Drosophila melanogaster: one gene and its partners. The protein of the gene in region 1 purifies or fractionates together with the protein of each later gene. This does not show direct contact. Each region holds a gene or a part of one and is shown on either strand. Other genes may lie near its edges. The genes, in order: HIPP1, Ibf1, CG10265 and Ibf2.

Region 1 (10,032 bases):
AGGAGGAGGAAGAAGAGCAGAAGCAAAAACAGCATCTCTTACAACCTGAAATCTGCGAGGCTCAACTGAATTCAATGGTAAAAGCTGGCAGCGAAGGCTCCTGCAAAAAGTGCAGGAATTGCAATCATACTTTGAGCGAAACAAGGCTAAGTAGCGAGTCATTTGTCCTGCCACCTCGGAAATTGTGGGACTTTTCAAGGCTACAGCAACGGTTGCGCAATATAAGGCAGAGGCCGTCGTGGAAGGAAGTGAACACTTACTGGGAGATCGAGGAGGAGGCTCGTCTGTCCAGGAACCAAGACTCCGACGATTCAATGGAGCAGACCAGGGTGGAGGAGGAGGCCACCAAGTGGAACAAAGCGGCGCTTCTTGAAATGTGCAAGCTGTGAGTACCGAATACACTTGGAATTTTGAATCATTTTTTAACATTTACTATTTCTACAACAGAAGAACAGAAGAGAAGGACATAGCCATGCCCCCGGAATCCTTCTTTACGAGACTCAAACGTTTGCTAACCGAACAGCAGCCCAACTGGATCTTCGACTACCAGCGTAAAGTGTCCCAGCAAATGATATTTTACAACCGACAGCTGACCACGATCCGAATCGTGGTGAACTACCAAATCGAAGACTTAGTAGAGGAGTCCACCATTAGCGTGTGTTCCATTCAACTAGACAATGACGTGCCCACTCCCAAGGACCAATGGTCATCGCGTGAACACTTTTTAAACTTCCACCTAAGTCTCCGCCTGCCGATGAATCCTAGCGACGAGATCGAGGGCAGTGATGAGACGGCTTTCTTGAAATTTCTCAACGGCATTGATCGCAGAATTGCAGAAGTCAAGCAAAAGTTACACAAAGTTTTAGATCTTCTAGCGCAGAAGAGAGCGAGGCTAACAAGGTATAAGCTTCTCCAAGGTGTATCTCAATACATTACTAATTTAAGTGATCCCTTTTTAGAGAAGCAAATCGAACTATTGTCAGAAAGATAGTGCGAAAGTGCATCGACCAGGAACCCATCGTGCGTCTCGAGAAGATCACTTTCCTTATTGAAATCGGTAATATTGAGGACGTTTCCTTCACGGACATCCTACGCCCCGAACTGCATCTCTTCAATGAAAACATTCAGTATCTGCCCAAGGGAATTCCTTTCCTCGAAGCCTTTCTCACCGATCCCGAGCAGTACCTTAGAAAATAAATGCGTATGTTAGACTACCTTTTAAATTGTTTTAAATTAAAATAAATGCATTCGTCTGCGTTTTTTAACGAATTCACATTGAAAGTGTATGCGAATGGGCAAGGATTTCCACTGAAATCGAGCTTATTTATAAGAGCAACCATTACTATAAGTCCTTTGAACGAAATAAAACAAATAAAGAGCAAGGAAGGATTTTGTTTGAATTTAAGTTTACTCGCTTCTCGTACTCGTTTACAATAATTAAAATAATAATAAAACTTAAAAGTAATTTAGTTTCCTCTTGCGTGGCTGCTGAAAATTCGTTTCGTTCATCCGGATCACTTGGAAGCTGGAACTAGTTGAGTGCGTGTTTGCTTGCATTTGCTTTCTTTATGTTTATTTCACGAAGACAACACAGACATATTAAGATCCAAAATATATATACGTTATATATATATATATATATATATATATATGTATGTTTTGTGTTTAAGGTTTGTGTTTTGAGTGGTTCCGTGGCCTTCTGCCCGCTTGCTTCTCAGCCACATGGAGATGGATGCGTGTGAGTATGTGTGGTGTTCTTAGTTTTGTGTGAGTGTGTGTGACGTCATTCGAGGGTGGAAAGTGGAGGAGTGTGTGACCTCCGGCTTAGACGCGAGACAACTGCTGCAGCAGATTGCACGGCCAGAACGCCTCGATACGCTCCTTGAGCAGCTGAAATGGATACGATATCCAGGTAAGTACGGTCTGTGCCAAATGACCCATGGGCTCCGGATACTGGTGGGTGGCCAAGGCCAGCAGGGCGGTAATGGAGCACAGTCCCGCCGTGAACAGGATGAAGAAGGGCAGCTCCTTCTTAGGATAAACAGACACCTCGTGGAACGCCGGCAGCAGTTCGCGATCCGCGCACTCTGTGCATGTTGGATATGGATAGAAGAGGTGGCCACGCTCCAGCGGATACGGCAGCATGCGAAACGTGCCCTCCCAGGTGCAGTGCAGCAGGTTCAGGGCGCCCTCCACCTGCTTCCAGTGCTTCAGATGGAAGAACGCGTAGGCCAACGCCTCCGAATCGCCGCGCTTCAAAATGTGCTCTGGCGGTAGAATAAGTCGCTTTGTCTCAAGCAGATACTTGGGCACATGCGGATTGAACTCCACCGCCCGATGAATGGCCTCAACGGCGCTCATTTCAGCTTGACTTAGACCTCGCTTGGATGCTATGTCTGGCGAAAACTTGTCGGCTACGGCGCGCGCCTTCAGCAGAGCAGCTGTATAGCAGATAGTCGCCGATTTCGGCAGCGAGATGTCATCGTACTTGGCCAGAATGGCATGGCAATCGGCGTAGGCCTGCATCTCCAGCAGCGTTTCGATTAGATTCTCGTGAATGTTCAGTACGCTCATGATCGAGGGTATCTCCTTGGTGAGATCGCGAAACATTTTAGCCGCCTCCTTCAGCTTGCCCAGCTTGCGGGCGCACATGGCAAGCCGTCGCTTGATATAGATCAGCACATTGGTGTCGCGCCGATGCATGCCATCCGCAATGGCGCCCTGGTGTTGGGTGGCCTGCGACTTGCGGTAGTTGATCTCGGCGACCTTTAGGGCCGTCTTCAGGATCTTCTCCGCCTCCATAATGGTCATGGCTTCCTCCTCGGCCAGCAGTATATAGGCAGGTGCACATTCCGCATTGATTTCCAGAGCACTGTGAGCGGACTTGATGCGCTGCATGGGATTGCGTTCGCGCCAGGCCGTCTGCATGATCTCATACTCCTCCTTGCGGGCATCGCCTTCGCAGGTAAAAAATGTTTGATGGTCCTGGGCACTTAAGTTCATGTCGTAGTAGGTCAACGGCTCCTTGCTGGTGGCCCAAAAGAATCTCTGGTACTCGGCGCCGCGAAATAGATTAAGTGGATTTCGCCAGACCTTACACTCGGGCATTTGGGTGCCCGTACTTGTGGTGGCGCTGCCACTGCCTGATGCCCCTGCTCCACCCGATCCTCCTCCGCCTGCTCCGCCATTGCTGCTGCTGCTGGAGCCACTGCTGCTGCTGCTGCCACTGCCATTGCTGGACTCTGATTGGCCATCGCTGCCATTTATCCAGGGGCTAATGTGGTTGATAGAGACTTGCTCTGCGAAACAGGGACAGTGAAACAGAATAAGAAGGAAGCGGAGGAAGGGGAACCCCACTACTCACCTATAAACGAAGTGCCATACTTCCGGAAATACCACCACTCAAAGATCAGGATCAGGCCCGAGATCAGGCTGGAGGTCCCTGTGAGCGCCACGTAGAACTTAGGCGTCAGAGTGCTGAGAAACATGGACGAATCCCACATCCTGCTGCCTGCTGCCCCCTGCCTGCGAAGTTCTGTATTCGACGCTCGTTTCGCTTTGGCCCCAGCTCCGTCCGGATTTTGCCGCTCTCCGGGATTAGCTTGTGCCTGGGGGTTCGCGGATACTCTGTGCTCTGGCACTGACCACCGCCGAGGGGTTAGATCAATTAACGGTTGCCTTTCTTGGCGCTATCCTTGCGCGTATCCTTGCTGCTGATGAGACTTTTTTCAATCAAGTATTCGAAAGGGGATGAGCGGGGGGTAAATACCAGCGCAACGTGACCGTTTCTCGTCGCCTTCTAAATGCCGCTGAACGTACTGGTCACTCTGAAAAGTTCTTGCGGGAAGACCTTTCAACTTCTTTCAGAAATATTCCACGCATGTATCTAAAGTCTATTGCATGGCCAAGAGATATACACATTTCCCACTGTTATCTATTATTACTTATATTTGTTTTAATAGTTTGGTTCTTATTTGTGCTCAACATATTTCGACAGTTATTTCTTACGATCACGCTAAGAACTTACTCTAATAGCAAATAATAACAAAACCGGTCATACATATTAAAATATATAAGCGAACTACCTGATATCTATTTAATGCTAATTGTTGTTTAAATTTAATGAAAAATGTAATTCTCGAACCATCCACTTTTTCCGATATTTTCACGCCTATCGATAGATCCACCTGCGCACCACTACAAAAAATGGCCGCTGAGCTGCAAGTGCACTTTTTTTTATAATAGACCAATCCGATTGAAACAAGCACGCAAAGCCCTTAATTTGGAACTCCTGTTGAACGGAAAGCCATCAGTGGGGCAGTGGAATCATGGAGCAGGTGTCGGATAGTGCGGTGACAACTCTGGAGTCAACCCAAGCAGAGGAGCCACCACCAGGAGTCGAAAAAGTTGAGACTCTAGAACTAAAAACGGCGGCGTTAGAAACACTCTCGGAAAGTGCGGGTCCCACTGATTTGGAGAATGAGCTGGCCAATCTCAACGGATCTGAAGAGGGTCCAGGCTTGGACGAGCTGAGCACTCTGGAGAGGGAGATAGCTAAGCTGCATAACATTCGACCGCCGGATGCGGCGTCCGAAGTTAAGGATTCCGACACACCAATTGCCTTAGCAGACAATGGTGGCTTAGAGCCCCGCCAGGCCCCAGATGAAGCTAAATGTCGAACCCCAATAATCGAAGAAGGCAACGCTGCCTCAGGCAACGGCCAGTCCAGCGAATCCCCCTTGGAAGAGGTAGATCTCATTGCCCTGCTCAAGGGGACGGATACCAGTCATGATCAGCCTACGGGAGAGGAAAAGTGCACATTGGAGAAGGCTCTCTCCGAGCTTGACGGCGTTGGAGAAGATGGGGATGTAGGTGTTACCATCGAGGGCGAAGGGCAGTTCGAAATCATGGAAATTGACGACGACGAGGGGGAGTCATCGAGTCGAAAAGCCAGCCCCAAGGTACCTGCGTCCAAGCCCATCAAATCTAACTCCTTGCCTTCTATATCCAAGCATAAGCTCTCCCCGGAACAAGCCAGAGCTGTTGCTCTGGAGCAGATGGCCGGTCTAAAGCCAAAGTCGCGTCGTAAGGAGCCGCCTGCGCCGCCTTCTGTGGTCGCGCCGATAGATATTGTCAGCTCGTTGAACGATGATTGGGACGACTACGACTCTGAGGAAGACAAGTCGGCTTCCGCGTTGGTGACAGAAGTTATAACTCTGCCTTCAGCACACGTAGTCACTAAGAAGCCACCTCTGCCTGTGAAAAAATTGTCATCCCCAGTTAAGCACAGCCCGAACTCGGCAATTTTGCTAAACAACAAGATCAGCGGAGTAAAAGTAATGTTAAAGACCGTGAGCCAAAAGCAACTTGCAGCCTCAACAGGGGCAGCAGCGGAAAAAACCAAGCCGACTGTCGTTGTGTCACCTCCCAAGGAAACCGAAGAGCATACTACGGGTACAGTAAAGTTGGAATTCATTAAATCATTGCTTACAAACTGAATTTTTAGGGTTCAAGCGTATGCGTGTAATTAAAAGGAAGATAATCTGGGACCCCGATGTACCAGAGACGAAAAAATCGTTTGCGCAGTATGCTAGCACGAAGGCGGCATGTCCAGCACCCACCACACCAAAAACAACTGTCAAAAGCATTTCGCCCACCACGACGACTAAGAAGGAGGTGGCACCCAAAAAACGGTCAGCTACACCTACTGCTCGGTCTACTAAAGCTGGCACTCCGGTCGGAGGAACAGAGCGGGGTCCCTCGCCCGTCAAACGACGCGCGCAAACTCCGAACACAGGTCTAGCCAATGGAGGAACTCAAAAAAAGAAAAAGGTCTCTGAGATCGATCGCCTGATGGGCGACGAGGGAGCTGCCAATATGATTCATGCAGTGGAGCATGAGCAGCGGGAATTGAGTGGTGGTGAGGTGTCCAATAAGCCGCTGATGCGGAAACGAGCGATGACCATAACCGGAAGGGTAAGTACTTCTACTATAGAAATCCGAGATACCTATTATCGATTATCGAATATTTATGATTTTCCAATACAAGAACCAGGCAGCACGAGTTGCTGTGGAACCAACACCGCCCAAAAAAGAGTCAGCACAATCGGCCGCCAAACGAACGCCTGCTGATTCTGTTTTTACTAAGGCCACCGCCAACACATCTGCCCGTAAGCCTCGCGCTTCCGACTCGTGGGACTATGTTTACAAACAGCGCGCCAGCGAGGAATCGATGATCATGCGTCGGCGCTCCAACAGCTCGTACTCCAGCAACGCTTCCGTAAGTCGAAATTCGCTGGACAATAGGCCCGGAGCAGCCAATCTGTCTGATGATGCAGGCGAGGGCTCGGACCCGTCATTTAAGTTTGTAAAGCCCGTAAGCAAGTCGAGCCAAAGGGGCGGTGAAGATACCTCCTCGCATACGCTGGCTAACGATATGAAGGCGAACAACGGTAGCGAACTGGTGTGCCTGCACAAGGTTAACAAAGTTGCTCACCTGGTCATCCACACGGAACGAGGAAACTTCGGCCATACGTACAGCAAGCAGCTGCTGGAGCAGTTGAACGACACACTGTCCAGTGTTGCCCGCAAAGGCGAATTCAACACGGTGTTGCTTACCGTCGAGGGTCCACAGTTTTGTCAGGGCATCGATTGCCAGGAACTGATACAGGGTTCCCTGGAGAAGCGAAAGGATAGTGCCAGTCAACTGGCTGTAGCCCTTAAGTAAGTAATTCAAATGTATCTTTGAGAAAAGGCTTATTAACGAAACCGTTACATTTTAGATGCTATCTACGCACTCTGGCCACATTTCCTAAACCCTTGGTGGCTGGCATTGTTGGCAGCCAGATTAATTTGGGCGTTATGCAGCTTCCCTTTGCTGACTACGTGGTGGCCTCTGATGATTGTAGCTTCGAGACTAACTATGCCAAATTGGGTCAGCTGCCCGAGGGCTATGCTCTGTGGCATGGTCACCAAAGAGTTTCCAGTGAAGTGGTAAATATTCAGTCTTTTATAAAGCTTATCTACAGCTCATCCCATGTATCGTTCAGCACTCGCGTTTGTTTCTTATGGGTGAAAGACTGTTCGCAACGGAACTTTTGGAATCGAATAGTTTCGTTGACAAGATCTGCAAGGCCAGAAATGTCAACGAAATGGCTCTGGCCAAAGCCAAACAGATATCCACTAGCTCTGCGGAGGTAAAGCGTAACATCTAGTGTTATTATTAGTTAACTTATATTGAAAATCCCACAGATGTATCGTACACTAAAGAAACTCAACCACTCCGCCGTCAATGTCACGAAATTCCCGCGTCTGGATGAGGAACTAAAGGTTATAGGAGAGCAATGGGTTACTGCCGATTGCTTAGCCAATTTCAAACGCTATCTTAACGACGTTGATTTTTAGAGCATTGATTTATAGTTACTGTATACCATTTGGGAATGGTAGACATTCATCCATACAAACCATATAAAGATTAATTCATACATTTAGTTGAGTCCTTTTAGGAGTTTTATTCTGGACCATGAGACTATCGCCCTAAGAATTTTTTTACTCCTACCCCATTGTAAAGTACGAACGCTGTGTAAATTGTAAGAAATTCGGAGGCAGGAGTTATATCCTGTTCTATTAGGATTTTAAAGGTAACTCGATTAGTTGAACGTGCTGGGATTGGAAAGTTTGCAAATTAAATTATCGCTTACACGTTTTAAATTCGAAATTTTATTTTCCGTCATCCGAAATTCCCAAATAGTTCACTTTTCAATCAAACAATGGAGTTTAAGATCCCATGCAATATATCTTGTGTTATATGAAAAAAATGTTAAGCCTCATAATAAATAAAATAAGATGAACAGCTCCCATAAACGGAACTTATCAATTGAAATCTATTTGTCGACTAATTTATTATGGGAGGCTAGAAAAGGTTTTTAATGTACAATGTAATGCACGCAACTAGTTTAAACTACTATTTATGATCGACAGCACGCTTCTGCTGGCTAAATGCTCTATAACTCAACTCAGTTCCTGATCGCCATCTGAATGCCCATCTAGTTGTTCTTGTGGTCCTCGAAGTAGGAAGGTAGCTCTGCTTGGAGGCGCAACAAACGGACGTAGGTCAGCAGTTTCCATTCGCTCAGCGGCTGATCCTCGGGATGCACGAAGGTGGACATGTATGTGACTAGCTCCTGAGATCCGTCCTGGTCGAGATCTGCGACAAGCATCGAGTGGTCCTGGTTGTTCAGATCCGGTTGGCACACCACCTCCTTGCGGTCGTGACGGCAAAACTGGACGATGTTGCTTCGCGAGGTGTTCTCAATGTGGGTATCGGCCCCCACGAAAACCACTAGCAGCACGGTTTCTGTAATCATGTTCATTTTGTAGCTTCCGCCGGGAGAGATTCCACTCGATTTGGTCAGGTTCATAGTTGAAGATGGCAGTCCGAATGATTCCCTCTTCTGCTTCACATGCTCGAAGAAATCGAACTCCTGGTGAGCCGGTTGAAACTCTTGATCTTTCGCCTCCGTGCTTCTTCTTAGACGTTGGTGCTGCTGTTGTTTCTTTGCCTGAGCCTGAGACTTTTCTTTATCCTTGATGGCATTCATGTTCTTGGTGTGATTGTTGCTGCCACTCTTCTGCACATTGTTGCTGTTACTGCTGGCGGAAGTCTGTTTGGAAGGCTTAGCCAAGCCATGCCACTTCCAGAACTTCATCACAAAGCCGGACATTTGCGACTTGGTATTCTTGAAGTGCCATTCGGCGGGCTTCATCCCGTACATTCTGCTCGTGATGAAGTTTTCCACCACATGGGGTTTGCCATCGCGGACTTCACTGAGAACAAAGGTAACATTGCAATCCTCCGGACAGCGTCCTCGGTTCTCCACCACGAGTTCCCGTCCACTTAAAGAATATATGTTCCTCTGGGCATCCAGTTCCCGCCGCTGGCCATGGTTCCTATGCTGGGAGATCTTTGAGGTGCCTAGTCGTTGGCTTACAATAGATTTGTTGGTGATCAGGGCATACAGCTCGGCCAGACTCTTGGAACGCTGCTGCTCTGTGTCATTGACTCGCTGACAGGTGAAGCTCACGTTGCCCGCCTCGAGCTTCAAGTTGCTGAGAGTGTCGCAGTCGTGAATGGTGAAGCCATCACCAATAGGTGCTCCTCTTCTGCCCGACAGCATGCGCAGCACATTGCGAGCCTCTAGTTTTTCCGGAGATTCATGTTTGAGCTGGGCAAGCGATTTAGTGCGCTGTACCAGTGACAAACTAGTCACGAGCAGGAGGTCCAGCACTCCATCTGCATCCAGATCAGGCAGGATAACTGGGAAGTCATAGGCATCAACTTTTCGGGCTGATCGCTCCTTATGCCACCAGATCCATTCACCAGAGACGGGATGAATGGCTCCAAGTTCGCCATACTCATCCAGTACCAAGCAAGCTGGTTTCCCATTGCCATCTATGTCTATGAGGGTGCAGTCCAGGGCCACAGGCTCATCAACCATCTCCACAAACCAAGCCACAGCTCCCGAGGAGCCAATCAAACAGATGATGCCATTACGCCGCTCGTTACCTGGTCGGAATTCCGGGAAAAAGGCATCCCCGCGGTACATAAATATCAGGTTGTTCTCCCAGGCTCTTAGACCACCGACCACATTGATTCCTCCCTTAAGTTCCGCCTTTGTGTAATTATTGAACCAGTTGTGGGTCTTTATCCGGTCTCCGACGGCTGGACAGGATCCAGTGCCATCAGGATTACCGCAGGGCACCAGCCATACAAAGGATACGACGGCGAGGAAGCACAGGAGCAGGCTGCCTATGAAACAGCATTTCCTTGCCGGTGACATGGGGGTTCTTTTGGACAAATCCTCGCCGGTCTGATTATGGTCCCCCAAGATGGCTACATTGTCTGCATTCGCATCGAAATCACTGTTGAAGTGGGACAACTCCGATCCCACTCCACCATTATCGCTCAACATGACGGAACGGAAAGTATTCTGCATATTGGTAGCGTAGCTACTGCCCTCCAGTTGGAATTTC
Region 2 (7,815 bases), on another chromosome or scaffold:
CCCTTTGGAGTCCCGAGTTCTGGGTGTCACCACCCCCAAAGAGGAATCGATGAGTACAGAATATCCACTTTGTGACCGCTTTCCACTTGCTGCGCATGCATTTTACTTGATTATAGATGGTAGATCTACTTACTGGCCGCTATAAACAGCGAGAAAATCACGAAAACTCTCAACATTTTCAGTTTTCCGCTGGACTTTTAATCATATGACGAACGACTGCAAAGAAAACCTTTTCTCTTCCCCGATATCACCCTGACTATCATGTGATGAACAGGGTTGCTTGGGGTCAGTTATCGAATGGGTATCAGTAGGGTTGTCGAAGAGTGCGAACTATCGATTGTACTAGTATTTCTAGTTTTATTTATTATGTATTTTTATTTATTCAATAATTTTGATGTATGTAATATTTATGTATGTAAGCATTAGATTACATCGATTTTAATAACACTTGTAAGCATTGCATTATTACATTATTATTTAATAAAAAGATTCGAGTAATCAGGCTTAAAATAATGTATTTTGTAATCACCTTTACAAAGTTAAATGTAATAAATCTATGTTGAATTCAAGACAGACATTTTCGTCATCTTAACAAAAATTAAGGGTTCACCATGCGGACATTTAAAAGTTATCTATAGTTAAAATACATTTTAATCGCGTAGGGCGTCGATTTCCAATCGAAGCTTCTGAATCTTAAGCAAAGTCAGTGTGCGCTCTACTTTTAGATTGTCCGTTTCCGTTTTAAGAAACTTGGTCTTACTCTGGAACTGACTGATCTCGGCTCGCGCCTTTTCCGCTCGCAATGCAGCTAAACCATTTCTTGGCCTGGCCTCGATGATCGTCGCCGATCCATTGGCTAAGTCATCCGGGTTTTGCTGCAATATGTAATGCTGTTCGATAATCGTTAAAATGTCTAAGATACTTATCAAATTGTGAATATTTACTTCTTTGCTTTCGTCCAGGTACTCAGAGTATTCGGGATTTTTAATTTCAACGTTGGAAATTTCAAATTCCAAATTTTGCTCGCCAGACTCTTCCGTTTTGGTCAGTTTCCTTTTGCGAATTTCTCGTTTCACTCTGGGTTGCTCCTTGGGCGCCTCAGCCTCGTCAGCATCGTCCAGAATTTGTTGTATCTGGAATGAAAAATAACCATAATGTAAGTATTTGATTTAGTTTACGCATTTTTCACCTACTCACCTTAACAATGATCTCCTTGCCTTCGTTGGCATTATCCAGGCCGCCATCATCGTCGCCCGAAATCTTCTGGATCTGCATAAAAAATATATTTTAGAGCATTAGCGATATATAAGTAACATTTAATTTACATATGAATGTTCATATGAGACGATATGGGTTAGTAATTTCAAAAGTCAAATCATTAAGCACTATATATTGTATTCGGACAAAGTTCGAACCGAATATTTGTCAAATTACTTGGGGTTGACATTATAGTGTGCAAAGTATCTTTGGGATTTATTTTGAAGTGCATTTGTCCACTGACGTCCTACACCAGACATATACATACATCCAATGTATCCAAATTGGAAGCATCGAATTACCTTTATCCTAGGAGCCTCGTCATGATCCTTCTCGTCGGCAGAAGTGTACACTACAGCGCTTCTACTTCGCCGGGCATCGCAGGTTTGCCTACAATTTAATGAGAATTACTTGACGCATGTAAACACAATGTTTGGTGTATGTTTGTATGGTTACCTGTGTAACGATAGCCGGGATAGCGCCGTATTTTGGAGTACTTTTTCGCAGAAGTGACAGGTGGCCGAGTATTTGCCATTCTCCAAATTGGCGGTAAATCCGTGGGTTCTGTAAAAATCCTCGGACTTCTTTCGGGGCATTTTAAAATACAACAATCGCAGTAAATTCCAATGTACTATACACGATGCAAATAAAAATGGCTTCACTACAGATGCATGTAAAATCCACGCTTGCATACGATAGACATGTATCGACATATCGATAAAACCATTTTGATATTGATCAGTTCGATGCGTTTCTTTTAGTCAAAACGATATTTAATAAAGATCAGAAATAATTTTATATGTATATAACGGGTGAAGTAGTAAACTTTTAAAAGGATTTGCTTCTTAATTTTACTTATATGTATTTGTAATATATGAACGCCCTTCAATATAGTCTATTTTTTAAAGGTTCCACGCATATATTTTCAGATACATTCATGGTACTATTTACTGCCCGATTAATTAATCGTTAAATATACAAAGCTAAATATTAAACTTATTCTTTTCAAAAATTTGTTATTTATGACCCAGACAAAGTCATTTTTTACAATTCAGTCATTTCACAGATGATTCAAAAGTAAAAATATAATTAATATTCAAATGCAAGCGACCATCGATAGAATTCGATGGCATGTTATCGATACATCGGTTGAATTTACAGCAGCAACACTGTCACGTAATTTAACACAAACCGTATGTAAAAATGTCGCAAGCAAAAAAGGCCAAGCGACCCTCGGGCCTTTCGAAGGATGAAACTTGGAAGAAACTGGGCTTTCTACCCGCGTTCAAGGGCGGCAAGGATGGGGAGCCGAAGAAGTACCGAGCGCTGTGCACCCACTGTCGGAAATGCCAATCAAACACCAGCATAGACAGGCTGATTATCCATAGGTATGTATTATAATTTTTCCCGCTCATTTGCAAGTACAGTCCGTAAAATGTATGTATGTGGATACAGGAAGTCATGTCTCAAGTTCCGGGAGGATCTAACCGCTGAATTCGGTATTAAGGTGGAGGCTACGGACGCCGCTCCGGCAGAACAGAGCTCTTCCGGCTCCACAATTGACTTCACTTCGAATATTCTACTGGACAAACTGATCGACGAGGATGATAGCAGTGCACGCAATCAGGAATCCAACTTGGTGAGCTACTTGACCGATCTGGATCAACTGGTGATCCCGTCATCCGACGCCAATCGACTGCAGAAGGATCTGATCAAGGCGGAAACGGAGTATCTGGTGGTCAAATCCGAGTACTTTACCAAGATGAACGAGATATCCGAACTGAAACGCACCGTCACCTTGTTGGAGGCGAAAAAGACACAGCTGGAGATCGCCAAACTGCGTGCTGAATGCGAGTAGCCTAAGCTTTTTAAGTACACTACATTTTAAATTTCTTGAGAATATACAAATTTATTTAGATAATGAATAATAGTGATGCGGGGAGTTCGATTGAACAATTTATAAAGATGCCCGTCTACGTCGGCCTGCTGATTAAGACTACGGCCCAACTGTTGTCGCATCCCATGGAGCTAGTTCGTGTGAATATGCAGGCGAACGTAATCCACCATAGCCGTTTAAGCATAAACCATATGTTCCGGCTGATGGCCCGTCATGGATTACCCGGATTTTATTACGGCATTGTGGCTGCTTGTCTACGCTGTACTGTTCACACGATGTCAACGTACACGTTGTTCTACAACTTACAGGATAACAAGTACGTCCTAATGCTGCAGCCGTATAACACTAGCATGGTCCTGGGTATAACCGGATTTTGGGGCGGCGTATTGGCAACACCGTTCGCCAAGCTGGCGGTCATTCGGCAAGCTGATCTTACGCGCGGATCCTACGAGAGGCGCAAGTAAGAATATGGCCGAATAAACATAAATAGGCATTTTCCGGTTTAATTTTGAAACCAGCAAATATCTATATGTGTATCGTTTAATCTTCCAAAGCTATGAAAGTTAACCCTTTTTTGTAGCTATCGAAATTTCTGGAGAGGACTCAAATGTATGTACGCGAAGGGAGGATTTACTTACCTATTTACCGGTTGGAAAATAAACTCGATTAGTAGCACAGCCGTGGCCGTGCTGTATACTCCTATTAGTGATAAGGTCCATACAGTGATATCATGGTTCCACAGACTCGACGAGCCGTGGCTTAGCGATCTCATAACTATGGCGCTAACAGGCAGTATTATCACAGTCATTATGACACCAGTGGATGCGTTGGCTACTCTAACGTTAAACGAATCCTCACACTATGGCCGCACTTCCTATCCATATCTGTATCGGAAAATTATCCGAAAACATGGCTACAAGGGCTTCTTTTTTGGATGGAAACCGGCACTAATGGCCCTTATCCCACATACTGTTTTGGCAACGTTTGTATATCGCTTCTTACTAGATCGCTATATAACATAAAGACCCCCATATTTATTCACAAATCTTGTGGTGCACAATTGACAGAGCCTCCTTGAATTCTGATAGTTGGGCGGGCATTGTTTCGGTTATCCCGTTTTCCAGTTGGAAGCTAAAGACTTCGATGAACCGCGAAACGAGCTGGGAAAAAATTGATCTGTTAGATGTAACCAGAAATATATATAGACATAATAACATACTTTTAGAACTGGAGGTGCCTTCTCGTGGGCCACCAAACATTCCATTAACACAGCCACAAACTTCCCGTAAAACTCCGGCAGGTGCGGATGCAAAGCTTGCAGAGGAATAGGCATGATGCAAACCAGATAGCATCTTAGCAGTTGATCCAGTAAAGCAGTGCATACCTCGACACCTTGGAGCAGCTTGCTCGACTCCAGGACAAGCATTTGTAGGATGGCCTTGGCCCAACGATAGCTGGTGCTAACATTTAGAGCAAGGCATACGTCCCGACACGCTACCAATTTATCTGGTTCGCATATATCCATGGCCAAAGCAGTTTTCACATCGCTGCGATTGATGGTGAAGTAGTATCCTAATCGGATGATATACTGCAGCAGGCAGATTAAAACTTTTGGGCTGGAGGCCATTGTCACGTTCTGAATGAGGCGTTCCAGCATGTCGTCGCATTGGTTCCACTAAAGTTGCCATCATATTTATGTTCAGTAACTAGAGTAAGTTTCAAGGTACACACCGTGAAAGCATCTAGATCTACAAAGTGATCAAGACAGAAATACAGGCAGTTCCAAACAGATTCGATGGCTTCAATTGAGTCCATGTTGTAGACATCCTTGAGGGCATGGTCATAGATCACACTGTGCACGTTCAGTTCCTGAATGTCCTTGGAGTCCTGAAGGATGAAGTGTTTCATTGAAGGTCTTGGCGCTAAAGTGGTCTAACACGTACGCTAAATTTTAACATCACTGAGAAGATCTTGACCCCAAGTTGCTTGTAGATAGTATCATAGCATTCGCGCACATTAAGACCCACGGATAGTGCAAAAGCCAACATTTGGGTGGACATTGCGGATTTCTTTCCGTAACGAAGCTGCGGGATAAAGTAAGTGAACAAACTGGACTATCTGGATAAATATTTGTCTGTTAGTGTATACCTCTAGATATCTGCCGAAACCATGCACAGCTCCTAGTTGTCTCTTCCAGCAATCCCTGTGCAGTTTCTTCTCGTAGTATTTCAGGAATTGATCATCCGTCGACTCCCACCAATGGGAAGACAGCTTACTAGCCAAATCATTAGCATACTTCAGGAGATTACCAGAGTCGTCCTTTAGTTGGTAAATTGTAGGCGAAGCTGTCAATTCGCAAATCAGCAGGAGGAGCTTGAATCTTAGCTGAAAGTTAACTAGATTGTAGTCGTGGAATTGAGTGTTTGCAAAGCACAACCTCTTCGTGTCCTGCATCACCACTTTTCAGGAGGAATTCCTGCACCAAATCGTAGAGCTTTGGCAGATCCTGGATAAGTAGGGAATGGTAGCTGTCGAATTGCGACGTCTCCAGCTGAATGTTGTCCAGGTCCTCCTTCAGCTCCGGCAGCATATAAAACTCCAACAGCTCACACATGTGAGTGGCGAGCGCTTCGGTGGTATCATCGCAAGTCATTTTGTTTTCGAAAATCTCTTTTAAATTATGTAGCATCCAAAACGTAAACAGAAAAGCCGGCCAAATCCGATAACACTCGGCAACTATCGATTTAACAGAATTTTTTAGATAACTTTTAACAGATGTGAAAATGTTAGTAGAAATGACTTCGTCACAATACTTATTTTTAAAAAGAAAACATTTTAGTTTTATGTTGTTGACGAACATGAAAAAATTCATTTTATTTTCACAAGTATTAGAGGAAAAGGAAATACAGAATCAGTGGCACCCTCTTTAATAATTAAACTGAAATTATATATCATTTGTATAATTATAACTTATTATTTTTTTTTATTATTTTCTCTACAAAAAGAACATATGTTTTGTTTTTATTTTTTTAAACAGTTATAATATTTTTCTAATTGGCCTAATCAGGCGATATAGTAAGACTTATCATAACCATTGGCAGTCATTTCCTGGTCAATCCAATTTCGAATCGATGATACGTTGGTCATGCGGGTTGGTCCCTTGAAGAATCTGAACACCACAATGCCACTAAGCTGGTAACGATTTTCCGAGGGATTTCCAAGGGGACAGGCCAGCGGTCCACCAACATCGTCGTAGGCTATTTCTACGCCTGGCTGGCCTGCAGCGCATAGTATGGATGTGCTTAGTTAAAAGCTCCAAATATTGATAGCAAGTGATCGCGACACTTGCCAGTATCCACAATGCGCAGTGGCATCCGTTTCATTATGGTTGTGTATTGGCCCGAGTTACCGAATGCATTCTCTCCCCATCCATTGGCATAGCACAATGAGGTGGGTGGTGGAGCAGCTTCTTGGTCAGGTAGACATATCACATTAATATGATCGTTCAGTTCGAATGATTGCTCGAGGATTAAGAGTGCCGCGTTACAGCATTTGGGATGCTTTATAATTCTTTGCACCCTTATCTCTTGAGACTGTAGAAGCTCAAAATTTTATTTTAAGTCCAATATCCCAGCACGAACTGTGTAGTTTTCACAATTTTCAACCCGGTAGGTGACAGTCATAACCACCCGCGGATGAATAAGTGTGCCTGCAAAGGAATAGTTACCGGTCTTCATTACAGCCACTGTCCAGGGAAATTCGCCAAATTCGGATTTATACTAAATGCCAGCTGGGATATCGTTTAAACCACCGACATTGAGAATTCCACAGCCTCGTTTTTGGCTTTGGGCTCGGACTTAAAGTCGTTGTTCGTAATCGATTGTAGGGACAACATAGTGCCAATATATCTGGACAGTGGATATTTTGAGTATCCAAAATACCATCCGACGGCGGATAACATTGGTTATAAGGCACACACTGGCAATTTGGAGCAATTTGGAGCAATTTGGAGAGCGTCCACACTTTTTTGACTTTCATTCATAGGCGAGCGTGGATTCAGGACATCGGCATTTGATCTATTCACTAAAAACTTTAAAAAGGTTTGTTCTCGCATTTTTCTCTTCTTCAGAAGCATTTAACCTTTGGGCGCTCAGTTTTGAAACAGCACAAAATACGACCAATAGTCTTAAGAATCCAGTCATTTTATCTGGAATATGAGTCACAAATTTTTTATTCGAATTAAAGAGAATAATTTCTTAATGTGAAATTTATCACTAAAATTTACTTTCATATATTCCAAGAAAGAATATCTATCCAGGAAGTTTTTAAATTGCAATTATCTAACCTTATAATTATAGTTTTATACGATTATGGGCTTCTTCGATTGTTTCCTTGTTCATAAATACCTCGTTTCCAACAATAATTTTAAGAAATTTTGATTCGCTTAGAGTTGTAGAGAACTGAATCTTGAATCTCTGATGGTTGTAGTGTTCGCAAGAGCAGTTTAGAAAAGACTGGTGGTCTCAGATTTAAACACAAACCTTGTTAATTTTATGTTTTTATGTTTTTGAAAGCTTAAATGTTGATAAAAAGTGGAAAAAAAGTTTTTAAAGACAAGAAATTAAAAAAAATTGGTAATTTAATTTAATTTACGGATAAGT
Region 3 (7,416 bases), on another chromosome or scaffold:
GACTACGTTTAAGCTGGCCAATTTAATAGTTGGCCAAAGGCACTCGCCTGTTTTTGTTGTCCTGTCTCTGTTTTTTGTACTAGACCTTATTTTTTGTTTTCAGCTTTCTGGCTTTGGGGCGATTCTGTTGCATGAATTTCTAGACGGGCTATTTATTATTGATATCGTTACCCTTTAAGCGCACACTTTATGGTATTTTGCAGTGTTATCTGTGTAGTCCAAGCACCTGGATGCAGAATGCCGGGTGTTGGGTGCAGGATGCAGCTTGGCAAATTCAATTGCAAATGGCTGAGGCGCTCATCGCACAAAAGCCGAAAACCCTGAATCGGGTGGATATATGGCTAAAAATCGGGAATGGAAAATGGTGGTATGGTGTATAGTATAACTTTTCCTCTAGCTGCACTGACATGCAAAGCGGCAGAAAAATAGTCTGGCAAAGTTGCCAGTCAGAGCAAATCGCAGATAGTCAGCTAGTCAGACGCAAAAGCTCCTCCTTATATATATATATATTTCTTTTCTACTATCAGAGCTATCTTTAAGATTTTTAACTACCCGCACACTCGCACCTACGACGGCAAACTTGTCGAAAATATATACGAAAATTGTTTAACAAGTTGAAGGCTGACTGGCAAACTTTTTCACCTGCTCAGCTTTCCGGGTGGAAATAGGGTTGGTACAAAAGTAAAATATATAAAAAAAAAATACAAACAAAAAAAAAAACTAAGAGGGTAACGAAAGTTTGCAATGATCCATAAGTTTGTTCCGTTGCGCTTACAGCTGAGGAACATTTTCCGGGCAACTTCAGTTTTGGCTTTTAATTAAATAATTTCTGCCAACAATGTTGGACAGATGGCTGCATTTATTGTGCCACTACTCATCATTCCACCATCTAAAGTAGTTATATACAGTGGTAGCAGTAGCCGTAGTACTGGCCATATACCATCCATACCATCGCTTTTCAGATGTGCAATTATTTCGGCTTGCAAAATATTTAACTGCATTTCCTATTGATTTTTGTGCTTTGTAATCAAGTTGCCTGCGAGGCAAGCAGGAAATTGCCGATCTCCTGCAATTGTTGTGCCCCACCTAGATGGGCTGGTTGGGCTAGATGGCCCCGGTTCCATTGAGGACGACTTGCTTCGGATATGGCCAGGAAGTTATCTTCCCCCGAATTCCATCTACCTAAGTCCGCCAGTTCGCCCGAACTCAAACACATGCCCCTGTCAATAGACGAGGTCCTGTGGAAATGAGCGGTGGGGTAGGGGGAAAAGTTCTATGTTCCATCGGTCCATCGTTTATAGCAATTTCATTTGACTTCTCGTTTGTGTTTGCCGTCGGTCAATAAATGAGCGTAATATTTGGACTTTGATTCCTCCGGCTAAACTGACGACGGTGAGACAGTTGCAACTTGCAACTTGCAGCTTCCAGGTTGCTAGTCACCAGTCACCAGTTACAATTACCAGTTACCAGTTGAAAGCCCAACAATGCCCCCACATATATTACTGGCAAACTTGGTCCGTCGCTTGGGAAAAGTTGGCCTAGAACACACAACCGTGTTTGTCATTGTAAATGTGGCCATTAGTTGTATTACGCAGCAGAATTTGTGGCGTTCTTAATTTTTAACCCGCACCAACTAAAGTCAATGAAAATATTAATATTCTAAAGATATTAATAAATAATTTTAATCTTAATGCTCCATCTAAGGTAAAACAACTAACTTTTGTTCTCAACAGATAATAATGCATAGTGTTATCCCATTTTAGGCATGATTTTTTTCCGTTTTGTAATTATTATTTATTGTATATACCAATAAAGTAATTCACAGCTTGCTAATTGAAAAGAGTAGGTTTATTTTATACAAGCCAATGGAATGAATAATTCCGACCATGAAATTAAATGGCAGTAAAGCCAAGACGATTTGATAATGCCCACAAATGTGAAACCAAAAGGACGGCACTGTGTGTTGCAATCAATGTTTTTGTGCACTACTTTCAGATGAAAAATGACATTTTCTTGATGCTTGGCTTAAGTGACAGTACAAGTGTCGGGCGAAGGTGCTTGGAAAATGCCTGGAAAAGCCACTTGTCCGAACTTACTTAACACATGGCGACACAACTCACACATGCACACACTCTCGCACACAAATACACATACTGTGACACACTATATACATATATGTAGTTGTGCAGCTGCGGAAAGTATGCAACATTTTTGTACGAAAACGTGGTCGCACGGCCAAGATGTTGAAAATAGTGCCAGCGAAAAGTGGGGAAGAGAACTGTGATGGGGTGGCCTTAGTTAATTCGCAGTCCACAACAATGCAACAGCAACAACACCAACATCAACAACAACAGCAACAACAACATCTGTGGCAATTGTAGCGCCAGCTTTTCTATTGTATTATGACAGCAGCTGCACCTGCAAGTATGCAGTGATTGTGATTCTTTGCTTTCATTTTTTTTGCTAGTTCACTCGGCTGCGAAACCCCTTGAAAAACAGTAAACAAAGAGCAGGACAATAGTGGACGGGTGGTGGGTGGTGGGCGGCTGGGCGGACAGATGGGTAGGTGGTAATGCCCTGCCATGGCATGTGTTCATTGTCCAAGAGCAGTTCATGCCTGGTTACGCATCCCTATGTGTGTGTGTGTGCCAGTGAGTGTGTGTGTGTGTGGTGGGGTGCAGGACAGGTCGGGGGGCAGTTGGCATATCAACTGGTCGGACATGGTGTAAACACGTTTAATGTTGTTGCCATTGTCGTTGCCGTTGCCATTGCCATCGCATGGCTGCAGTTGCTCCTCCTGGCAAGCTGGCTGGCTGGCGAGCCCTCGGAGTCACGGAGCCATGCAGCCATGGAGCCATGGAGCCACCTAGCCACGGAGCTCGTCCTCTTCTGGCGCCGTCTCCTTTGCCACGTTTAATTTAATCTACTGGCCAAAGCTGCAGCCGCTACCTTGACATGGTCTGCACTTCAATCTGCATGCACGGCGTACAGTGGTGCCTGGCTATATCCAAACTGTTAGCAGCCAACAAGCTAGTTTCGAATTGTGTCTAATTTGTGTAGAAGCATCACAGCACAGTCAGGCGTTTTAAGGGAAGCTAATATCTTCTATTTAGGATCAGTACAATAAACAATACAAATAATAACAGTTATATACTTTAAGCGGTATCCACTGTAGTTTGCGTCCTGGCTGCTCGAGTGCACCGCAGGTCCATTTAACTTAGCTTTGGCAGTGGCAGTTAGTAGTAGTAGTAGTAGTGGCAGTGGCAGCGGCAATGGGGTTCCAGCTAGCTGGCCACCTTCTCCGCTTCCTCGACTTGGTGCATCACTCAAATGCCGGGGAGCCCCGCAGGCCCCCAAACGAGGCGACAGGAATGCGTGTGTGTAGCAGAGCGTGTGCAAGTATGAGTGTGGGCAACGTAATTTGCATGGTCAGCTTGCAGTTTTGGGACACACAGAGTGGCAAGTTGTGCCTCGCTCTCGTCCCTGGCTTAATTGCATGCAGGAATAGCAACTGCAGGAGCAGCCTCATCAGCATCGGCAACTTCATCCAATTGCCGCTGGAGCTGCGACCCACAGATCCATACAATTTCCGGGCTGTAAGCGATGCGGCTCTTTAAAGTTCACTTATTAAGTTGCAAGAATAGCAGGAAAATTCAACCAAAAGTGGGCCAGTTTGAAAAATATCAAGAATATGCCAACGATACTCACCTACGCTCTGCCGGGTGATTATGCTGCACGTGGTTCGACATGGTCCGTGCTCGTTATGCGGAACATTACAACAACAAAAAAAAAAAATTTAATATATATGTAGGTACGCAAAAAGTGCTGGATTTCCTTTTCATTTGTTTTCCACACACACTAGACAGACATTCGAGTTGAAGTCAAAATCAGACAATGTTCCCTCCATATGGCTCCATATCACATTGGTCGAAAAAATGGCAAGCTTACAAATGGCGCAGTCCCCGGCTGCATAAACGATGTCATTTTTTGGATTGCCCAATTTTTTTTTAGGTAGCTTGCGAATCATTTGCAAGCGATTTAATTTCAATTGCATGGGCGTTAATCAAAGGAAACAAAAGCCAACACGGGAAAAAGAACAAAGAAAACGCTAGTCCACTTATTCGACAATGTAAAAGAAAGCAGAGAGTTACTATTAATGCAGCAAAAAATGAGCAGGAGCAGTTCAAATAAAATCTTTCCAGTAATTTTCGATTCATGGACCAAAAACCGTAAACAAAAAAATCGTTCTATTTTACATAGTGAAAGTATGTTTTCATCTATTTTTTATCAATCTGAGCAAAACTACATATAAACATAAATTATTTATATAATATTTATATTAAATTATTCCAAACATTTTATTATACCATTTATATATCGTCATCCTTATCAAATCTTATATCTAAATGTTTTTTTTTTTAATGTGTAATGTGTTTTTCCTATTTGGTTTTTTGTGTGCTTTGAATTTAGGCGCGCAACAAAATGAATAGCAACTGTTTGGTATTTTTATGTCAGATTTTGTACCAACTAAAAATCGTTGACATCTACTACGTTTCAACGTCTGGCCACTCTGCACGAATGCAAAAACAAACTGAAATAATTTTTTAATACCATTTTTCTTCTTGGCGCGAATTGGCTACAAAAAAAATGAATGGATCGCGTAAAATAAAGTCCATGAAGACGATTCGCCTTGGCGACGTTCTATACGACGACCAAAAACGACTTCTAACGCTGTGCCGCAGCTGCGAATGCCACTTTATGACGCTCCAATCGTTCCAACGCCACCTAGCCGATTGCCCCGGAGTAAAATACATAGTAACGCCGATCGAACCGCTGGCATTTGATGATGCCAATCGGGAAACGAGACTGGTGAATGGCAGACAGGAGGTAGGCAGCTAAGGGAGCTCCATGATCCGGCGTTGCCCTGAAAACTTCCTGAGAATCCTTTTGATTGAACTCACTTCTTGCAGATTCACATCTACGACCTGGAGGCGGTTAAGAAGAACACCAACACGGCCATCGATTGGGAGGCAGAGCTGGAGGATCCACGCTGGTACACCAATCCCAAGCCCACCGTGCAGACCATACCAAAGACAAATTCCAAGGAAAATATAGTAAAGGAGGATGTAGTGCCGCTCGCCAAGGAGCCTCAGGAACCGGAAGGGGTGCCTGCGAAACGTCCGCGTAGCCCTCCCACCACCCGACGTACCATTCTGACCTCCCAGCAGCAGCGCAGATCCCGTGCCTGCTTGACTTCCCCTCAACCGCCAGCAGTAAAGATGAAAAAGGCCATCATTCTGGTGCCCACTGTGCTGGAAGATCTGAAGCGATTGCAGGACACGGAGAAAAAGGAAAGGATTCCAGAGGCACCACCAGCTCCTGTACATCCTGTAAGGTCATTGCAATCTCGTGCTACCGGGACAACGCAGTCAACATCTCAATTGGTACCCATGAAATTTTCTCCTGCATCGAAGCTTATTATACCAGTCTCTTCAAGGATATCTGAAGTACCAGAACCTCCCAAGACGCCCGAGAAACCAGTTCCTACCATAACAAGCAAATCAACTCCTCCATTGGATGGCACCCAGAAAATCCTAAACAAACTCAGAGCATGCGGTGTGGAGGTGAAGCGAGCAAGTACCCAATTGAATGCCACGACTGAGCTAAATCCAACCAAAAATCAAGAGACCTTGGACATCATGAGAAAACTGCAATCCAAGGGCATCAGATGCACCAAAGTAAGAAAATCGTAGTTGTATTCGCCGTAGTGTAAGGATGGTGCCATTAAATGTGCCTCTGGAGGCGAGGATTTAGCAATATAACTTTATTTAATTTAAATGGAGATTAATAAATTCCCGGATAGCGTTTATAACTTTAATAGCAAGCGAGTCTCTTTATTATCAAATCGCTTAATTTTAAATGTTTTATTTTGGTTTTTTTGCTCAAGCAGTGTGACCTTTTGATGCGACAACGTTATCGATTTAATATATCGACTATACACTAGTGGTGGCTATTTAGCTTATAAATGTATTGAACTATATTAAATAATTAAAACTATATATCACTCAAACAATGCCGTTTAAATACTTTGAAGACGGTAATCACATGTTCCATACAAAATGTTAACAGTCCTAGCTTTTTTTATGTTGTCCATTTATGTAGCTGAAAAGTTGGCATCACTGTGTAAGAAGAAGAAGCAGCTTGTTGATTTTTGGTGCCGCACGCGTTTCGGTCGAAAGTAATTGGAAATATTTGTGCTTGCGCCCGGCGTTATATATATTTTGTAGTACTCGAAACACTGCCGAATCCAAATCCAAAATTCGCGTGTGCACACCCACCTGCCGAGGCGGTACCAATTAAAAGGTAGGTCAGCTGACGACGATGGCAGCCAATTCGGGCTTACATAATTTGGGGACAGAATATTTATTTTGCCACCTTAGATTTGGCATTCAATGCAGTGAAAATGACATCATTTTGAAATTTTTAGAACCGCTTGTGTTTTGTTTGGTGAATTTTATAATATTTGCAATATTTCGGCTGCAGTTGCATCATTGACAGCGAACCTTAAGTTTAGTTCTCTGTAAAGGTCACCAAGCCCAGACTTAAAAAACAGATGTTTTTTAACAATCTTGGTACGTCCCACTACTAAAGCACTTATAATTTAATATACATTTAATCCGCCAGTAAAACACCTATAAATTTGAATTAGAATTCAATTTTATTCTCATTTCAAGTTTCAATATTATTTCTATTTCAAATACTTGTAGTTCATTTCCTTACTTAACTCTCGGGCACCGAACAAAACTGCATTGCATTTTCCTTTTAATAATCCACTACATTTAGCTTTGAGAGTTTCAGGCTTAATTATCTAATTGAATTCGTTACATTTCGACACTTGTTTTTATTCAGAGTTTCATTTTCGTGGTATTTTTAGGCTAAACTACTTAGTGCATGTGCCCATTTGAATTAAATTAGTGAGTCTACCTGGGTTTATTAGTTTAGGGTTTTAACATTAACTTAAAGCTGCTTATTGTTTGCATATCATTCAATCCTTTTCTTTTTAGCTCTCTCGAATCACAAAACATTTACATAGTTAAAGTATTAACAGTGAGAAACATATACGGAGACAATAGATTAGAATGTAATCAACATTTATACGAAAATAGTTGGTGTTTATATCCTGTGGGTGTAGAGACTTATCGATAGTGGTGCACATTTAAATGCGGCGTTCAACGTTTTACAATTACTTTTCATTATTCATTTAATATAAACAAATCTGATATGGGGCTGGCTGAAGAAGTCTCCTCTGGCCCCCTAGTTGCTCACTATTCCAGAGAGCGCCTACGCAGCGTCTTGCGCACTCCGCCGAAAGCAGCACTGCTGCGATCCAGGAGCTCGTTGGACAACCTGGCCAAC
Region 4 (7,070 bases), on another chromosome or scaffold:
TGCTGGTTTCAAAATTAAACCGGAAAATGCCTATTTATGTTTATTCGGCCATATTCTTACTTGCGCCTCTCGTAGGATCCGCGCGTAAGATCAGCTTGCCGAATGACCGCCAGCTTGGCGAACGGTGTTGCCAATACGCCGCCCCAAAATCCGGTTATACCCAGGACCATGCTAGTGTTATACGGCTGCAGCATTAGGACGTACTTGTTATCCTGTAAGTTGTAGAACAACGTGTACGTTGACATCGTGTGAACAGTACAGCGTAGACAAGCAGCCACAATGCCGTAATAAAATCCGGGTAATCCATGACGGGCCATCAGCCGGAACATATGGTTTATGCTTAAACGGCTATGGTGGATTACGTTCGCCTGCATATTCACACGAACTAGCTCCATGGGATGCGACAACAGTTGGGCCGTAGTCTTAATCAGCAGGCCGACGTAGACGGGCATCTTTATAAATTGTTCAATCGAACTCCCCGCATCACTATTATTCATTATCTAAATAAATTTGTATATTCTCAAGAAATTTAAAATGTAGTGTACTTAAAAAGCTTAGGCTACTCGCATTCAGCACGCAGTTTGGCGATCTCCAGCTGTGTCTTTTTCGCCTCCAACAAGGTGACGGTGCGTTTCAGTTCGGATATCTCGTTCATCTTGGTAAAGTACTCGGATTTGACCACCAGATACTCCGTTTCCGCCTTGATCAGATCCTTCTGCAGTCGATTGGCGTCGGATGACGGGATCACCAGTTGATCCAGATCGGTCAAGTAGCTCACCAAGTTGGATTCCTGATTGCGTGCACTGCTATCATCCTCGTCGATCAGTTTGTCCAGTAGAATATTCGAAGTGAAGTCAATTGTGGAGCCGGAAGAGCTCTGTTCTGCCGGAGCGGCGTCCGTAGCCTCCACCTTAATACCGAATTCAGCGGTTAGATCCTCCCGGAACTTGAGACATGACTTCCTGTATCCACATACATACATTTTACGGACTGTACTTGCAAATGAGCGGGAAAAATTATAATACATACCTATGGATAATCAGCCTGTCTATGCTGGTGTTTGATTGGCATTTCCGACAGTGGGTGCACAGCGCTCGGTACTTCTTCGGCTCCCCATCCTTGCCGCCCTTGAACGCGGGTAGAAAGCCCAGTTTCTTCCAAGTTTCATCCTTCGAAAGGCCCGAGGGTCGCTTGGCCTTTTTTGCTTGCGACATTTTTACATACGGTTTGTGTTAAATTACGTGACAGTGTTGCTGCTGTAAATTCAACCGATGTATCGATAACATGCCATCGAATTCTATCGATGGTCGCTTGCATTTGAATATTAATTATATTTTTACTTTTGAATCATCTGTGAAATGACTGAATTGTAAAAAATGACTTTGTCTGGGTCATAAATAACAAATTTTTGAAAAGAATAAGTTTAATATTTAGCTTTGTATATTTAACGATTAATTAATCGGGCAGTAAATAGTACCATGAATGTATCTGAAAATATATGCGTGGAACCTTTAAAAAATAGACTATATTGAAGGGCGTTCATATATTACAAATACATATAAGTAAAATTAAGAAGCAAATCCTTTTAAAAGTTTACTACTTCACCCGTTATATACATATAAAATTATTTCTGATCTTTATTAAATATCGTTTTGACTAAAAGAAACGCATCGAACTGATCAATATCAAAATGGTTTTATCGATATGTCGATACATGTCTATCGTATGCAAGCGTGGATTTTACATGCATCTGTAGTGAAGCCATTTTTATTTGCATCGTGTATAGTACATTGGAATTTACTGCGATTGTTGTATTTTAAAATGCCCCGAAAGAAGTCCGAGGATTTTTACAGAACCCACGGATTTACCGCCAATTTGGAGAATGGCAAATACTCGGCCACCTGTCACTTCTGCGAAAAAGTACTCCAAAATACGGCGCTATCCCGGCTATCGTTACACAGGTAACCATACAAACATACACCAAACATTGTGTTTACATGCGTCAAGTAATTCTCATTAAATTGTAGGCAAACCTGCGATGCCCGGCGAAGTAGAAGCGCTGTAGTGTACACTTCTGCCGACGAGAAGGATCATGACGAGGCTCCTAGGATAAAGGTAATTCGATGCTTCCAATTTGGATACATTGGATGTATGTATATGTCTGGTGTAGGACGTCAGTGGACAAATGCACTTCAAAATAAATCCCAAAGATACTTTGCACACTATAATGTCAACCCCAAGTAATTTGACAAATATTCGGTTCGAACTTTGTCCGAATACAATATATAGTGCTTAATGATTTGACTTTTGAAATTACTAACCCATATCGTCTCATATGAACATTCATATGTAAATTAAATGTTACTTATATATCGCTAATGCTCTAAAATATATTTTTTATGCAGATCCAGAAGATTTCGGGCGACGATGATGGCGGCCTGGATAATGCCAACGAAGGCAAGGAGATCATTGTTAAGGTGAGTAGGTGAAAAATGCGTAAACTAAATCAAATACTTACATTATGGTTATTTTTCATTCCAGATACAACAAATTCTGGACGATGCTGACGAGGCTGAGGCGCCCAAGGAGCAACCCAGAGTGAAACGAGAAATTCGCAAAAGGAAACTGACCAAAACGGAAGAGTCTGGCGAGCAAAATTTGGAATTTGAAATTTCCAACGTTGAAATTAAAAATCCCGAATACTCTGAGTACCTGGACGAAAGCAAAGAAGTAAATATTCACAATTTGATAAGTATCTTAGACATTTTAACGATTATCGAACAGCATTACATATTGCAGCAAAACCCGGATGACTTAGCCAATGGATCGGCGACGATCATCGAGGCCAGGCCAAGAAATGGTTTAGCTGCATTGCGAGCGGAAAAGGCGCGAGCCGAGATCAGTCAGTTCCAGAGTAAGACCAAGTTTCTTAAAACGGAAACGGACAATCTAAAAGTAGAGCGCACACTGACTTTGCTTAAGATTCAGAAGCTTCGATTGGAAATCGACGCCCTACGCGATTAAAATGTATTTTAACTATAGATAACTTTTAAATGTCCGCATGGTGAACCCTTAATTTTTGTTAAGATGACGAAAATGTCTGTCTTGAATTCAACATAGATTTATTACATTTAACTTTGTAAAGGTGATTACAAAATACATTATTTTAAGCCTGATTACTCGAATCTTTTTATTAAATAATAATGTAATAATGCAATGCTTACAAGTGTTATTAAAATCGATGTAATCTAATGCTTACATACATAAATATTACATACATCAAAATTATTGAATAAATAAAAATACATAATAAATAAAACTAGAAATACTAGTACAATCGATAGTTCGCACTCTTCGACAACCCTACTGATACCCATTCGATAACTGACCCCAAGCAACCCTGTTCATCACATGATAGTCAGGGTGATATCGGGGAAGAGAAAAGGTTTTCTTTGCAGTCGTTCGTCATATGATTAAAAGTCCAGCGGAAAACTGAAAATGTTGAGAGTTTTCGTGATTTTCTCGCTGTTTATAGCGGCCAGTAAGTAGATCTACCATCTATAATCAAGTAAAATGCATGCGCAGCAAGTGGAAAGCGGTCACAAAGTGGATATTCTGTACTCATCGATTCCTCTTTGGGGGTGGTGACACCCAGAACTCGGGACTCCAAAGGGCTCCCCACATGCATGCGCAGAATCTTGGACAAAGGAGACGAATATGTTAGATTCTACAGAACTTATGAGCTACGTCTTCCTATTTTGCAGTCAATGCCTCTGGCGAATTCACCGTGCTGAACCGTCCCAAGGCAATCAGTTTCAAGGGCAACGATGCACTGGAAAGCCACTACGTGGGTGATGTACTCTACGCTTCCATGGGCAACGCCGTCAGCGGCGATACCAACTGGAACGGACTGACCATCAACGATCCCTTCAACCTGGCCAAGGGCGTCATTCTGGTGCATGTCCAGGGCATTGGTCACGTGACCACCGCCGGCAACGTCAAGACCTACGAGCTGACAGGCTCCGGAACGGACGCCTCTCTGAACGCCCTGGCCGCCGAACTGGAGGCAGCCAACGAGCCCGTCTGCGATATTAACTTTGAGCAGTTCGACGATGGCGTAAGTGGTGTCTTAAAGGGGAAAAGCACATTTCGTTAGTCAGTTAGCTAATTTGTCAAACCGCAGAAAGCATGATCTTCATCTGAAAGTTCGTTTAAAGAAGCTTCTCTACAATCCGCTATAACTTCCCACAAATATGATAGATAGTTATTAAACCTTAAAAATTAATTAATCACATGATTTATAGAGTGAATCATAGTGCCTTCCCCCTTACGCATATAACGTAGAGACCAATGTATATTTAACCACATATTTTTTATAGGTTCAAGCCTGGAAGTCCTGCTTTGGTGATTTCGAGGCCCCAGCCGCCAAGCCCACCAAGCACCTGAACCCCTCTCTGCACACCGCTGACAAGCAGTTCCTCCAGGAGGTTGGATTCATCAACAGTGCCGCCGATCATCTGGCTGAGATGGCCAAGCCCTCGAATGTCCTGATGCTGCGCGTTTCCGTCGATGGAGTGGCCAAGGCTCATGGCGAGAAGTCCGTGGCCGTGGAGGAGGCCAACAAATTGCTGTCGGCCGCTATCAGCCGCCTGCTTGCTGCCTCCCAGAAGTCCAGCGACTCGGTTCTGTTTGTCCAGACCACGGAGAAGGACGTGGCAGCATCGCGTGCCAAGCGTGATACCATTGCCGCTTCCACCACCAATCCCTACAACCTGGCCGTCTACTACGGCAGCGACTACCCGGTGATCTTCAACATCATCCTGTGGTTCATGGTCGTCTTCGGACTGTCTCTGCTGGCTATCTGCTACGCCATCGCTGCCATGGATCCCGGCAGGGACTCCATCATTTACCGCATGACCTCTACCCGCATCAAGAAGGACAACTAAGGAGGAGCAGGAGGAGTTGAGAAGCGAGAGGAGCAGGAGGAGCGAGAGGAGCTTGCGTTACGCTTTGTTATTTCGTCCCCCTTTTAAGTTGAAATTTGCCAACTTCTACTTCAATCCAACAGCGGATAAATTGTGTGTTTGTGTGTGTGCGGACAGCTGTCGCAGTAGTTGGTTTTATTATCTATAAATAAGTATTAAAAAACTTTTCAGTTTTCAATGCAGTTGCGGGCGTCGCAACAATTCCATAGAAATTTGTTACATTTTCCTGTTTTGTTGTACTTTTTAGGTTTATATATATATACGAATATGCACAACATACTCGCCAAGTCAGTCAGTTCTTCAAACGATTCATCATATGTAAATTATCAAAATGTGAAGTGTTGAAAAGTAAAGTTAAATATATATAGCCTAAAAAGACAAAGTTGCGCCTGGTTTTGTTATCTAGTTTTTGGGGCAAATGATAATTGAAATCATACGTGGTATTCTTGATAATTTATTTAATTATTGCACTTATAAAAAGGTTAACATGATAAACTAATATAAAATGAAAGCTATTTCAATTTTTTTCTTCTCAAAATCGTAAAGTATGGACCTTAACTTTTATAGGTTCATGGAATGACTTTGGCAAATTGCGGATATAATATAACACAAGTTTTAAATTGAATATTTAAATGAATTCCCTTTGATATTCGTTAATTCAAGTTACGCTCCCCAATGATCGTTGCCATTATCATAAGGTGAACTACTTCCGCCGCTCCAGGCACAGCATCCATTGCCATTTTGACCCACGGAGCTCTCCCGCAGCATGGCCTGCAGGTGATTAATGTAGTTGATGGCAATCCTGGGTAGGCAAAGATCATATAAATATATTACAGAGCTCTACCGCAGATACTTTCACTTACCTCAAACTCTCGATTTTGGAGTACTTTTTCCCATTTGGCTTGGATATGGGTAGCTTGGAGCGCAGTAAGTCAAAGGCTCGGTTCATGTCCCGCATCCTGGTTCTTTCCCGATCGCAGGCGGTGCGTCTATAGTCCTTCTCCATTTGCAGCGCCTTCTCCCGCCAGGCGGGATTGTGCTCTTTGGCGATGTCCACCTCAGTGCTATTGGCTATACTACCGCCGCTATAGCTCATATACATGGGCGGAGGTACCAGCTCACTGGGTTTGTTGCATTCCAAGCCCACTGGCGAACCGGTGGCCACCTGGCCAGCATGCCACATCGACACCGGCTGAGGTATAACGCTATATGTGGGTGGCAACAGACCCATATTGTGCGCTTCCTTCTCGTAGCCACCCATCACGCTGGGTGAGTAGCTATGCGGATGAGTTGGCGCATATGCCAGCAAGCCTGCTCCATCCGCGGTTAGGGTGTAGTTGAGACTAACTGCCGGACAACTGGACGATTGAGGGGCACCGAGCTCTAGAAGAACGGGCTGTTCCGATGATTCCGCCTCGCCCTCGGATCCACCGCTCAAATAGGGTCCACCGGTGGTGGCTGATACGGGCACCAAAACTGGCGGTGGATCACCCGGTACGCCGGCCGTGGAGCTCAGCAGTTGATCCGTCATCGCTTAAGCCGCTTTTCGAATGACCGATCAAGAGTTCTGGCCGGACTGCAGCAGGTTTACCTGGACTCGGTTGGTTTTTTTTTTTTTAGCTTGTACCTTTTTGTTTTGCTTACTTTTAGTTGCATTAGAGACGACTCTGGCGATCGTGATGAATGGCTCACCATCGATCCATCGATTCGAGACGTGACTACTCATCCGGGGTTGATGAGGGCCACATCTCGTCTAGTTTAAGAGGCCACCGCTTTGTACGTGTGTCAACAGGTGATCTATAGGGGACCAACTTGTCGTCGAGGGTCCTTTTGTCCCATCCAATCGCTGTGCAAACAAAGCGGCTTAATTTCCTCGCTATTGTCCGATCGATCCGACTCCGACGGCTGCGAATGGTGATCGAGGCGCGTGTGGCAGGCTGGAGTTGCGTCCGACTTATGTCGGATCCCTCTCTGGGATCAGCGATCGACGATCGTCGCCACAACTTCAGTTTGAGTTTTTCTTTTTGATCGTCGCTATGTACAAACACCCACACTGGAACTCAGCCCATATGAAAGAGTGTATTT

What was found.
Region 2: the proteins of HIPP1 (region 1) and Ibf1 purify together in Drosophila melanogaster (affinity purification with mass spectrometry, with the first as the bait; one large-scale study listed by BioGRID). This does not show direct contact.
Region 3: the proteins of HIPP1 (region 1) and CG10265 purify together in Drosophila melanogaster (affinity purification with mass spectrometry, with the first as the bait; one large-scale study listed by BioGRID). This does not show direct contact.
Region 4: the proteins of HIPP1 (region 1) and Ibf2 purify together in Drosophila melanogaster (affinity purification with mass spectrometry, with the first as the bait; one large-scale study listed by BioGRID). This does not show direct contact.

Annotation. Positions count from the first base shown.
Region 1 is NT_037436.4:20,805,475-20,815,506, forward strand, and holds HIPP1 (HP1 and insulator partner protein 1), read left to right. Parts: upstream 1-4,194; 5' UTR 4,195-4,328; coding exon 4,329-5,454; intron 5,455-5,506; coding exon 5,507-5,976; intron 5,977-6,049; coding exon 6,050-6,723; intron 6,724-6,782; coding exon 6,783-6,993; intron 6,994-7,049; coding exon 7,050-7,196; intron 7,197-7,251; coding exon 7,252-7,404; 3' UTR 7,405-7,858; downstream 7,859-10,032. Other genes in the region: Spc105R (Spc105-related), read left to right, coding at 1-385, 448-900, 960-1,197; CG3634 (uncharacterized protein), read right to left, coding at 1,825-3,299, 3,365-3,503; CG3618 (uncharacterized protein), read right to left, coding at 8,046-10,032.
Region 2 is NT_033777.3:9,253,086-9,260,900, reverse strand, and holds Ibf1 (insulator binding factor 1), read right to left. Parts: upstream 1,938-7,815; 5' UTR 1,854-1,937; coding exon 1,714-1,853; intron 1,648-1,713; coding exon 1,560-1,647; intron 1,270-1,559; coding exon 1,198-1,269; intron 1,134-1,197; coding exon 945-1,133; intron 891-944; coding exon 651-890; 3' UTR 501-650; downstream 1-500. Other genes in the region: ATP6AP2 (ATPase H+ transporting accessory protein 2), read right to left, coding at 134-176; Ibf2 (insulator binding factor 2), read left to right, coding at 2,461-2,645, 2,713-3,115; CG16736 (uncharacterized protein), read left to right, coding at 3,223-3,614, 3,735-4,176; CG16734 (uncharacterized protein), read right to left, coding at 4,189-4,314, 4,374-4,829, 4,886-5,041, 5,098-5,238, 5,303-5,539, 5,592-5,807.
Region 3 is NT_033778.4:14,990,983-14,998,398, reverse strand, and holds CG10265 (uncharacterized protein), read left to right. Parts: upstream 1-4,563; 5' UTR 4,564-4,647; coding exon 4,648-4,887; intron 4,888-4,970; coding exon 4,971-5,753; 3' UTR 5,754-5,876; downstream 5,877-7,416. Other genes in the region: pcs (parcas), read right to left, coding at 7,326-7,416.
Region 4 is NT_033777.3:9,257,227-9,264,296, forward strand, and holds Ibf2 (insulator binding factor 2), read right to left. Parts: upstream 1,276-7,070; 5' UTR 1,215-1,275; coding exon 1,030-1,214; intron 963-1,029; coding exon 560-962; 3' UTR 501-559; downstream 1-500. Other genes in the region: CG16736 (uncharacterized protein), read right to left, coding at 61-452; Ibf1 (insulator binding factor 1), read left to right, coding at 1,822-1,961, 2,028-2,115, 2,406-2,477, 2,542-2,730, 2,785-3,024; ATP6AP2 (ATPase H+ transporting accessory protein 2), read left to right, coding at 3,499-3,541, 3,765-4,117, 4,380-4,946; sage (salivary gland-expressed bHLH), read right to left, coding at 5,649-5,787, 5,849-6,516.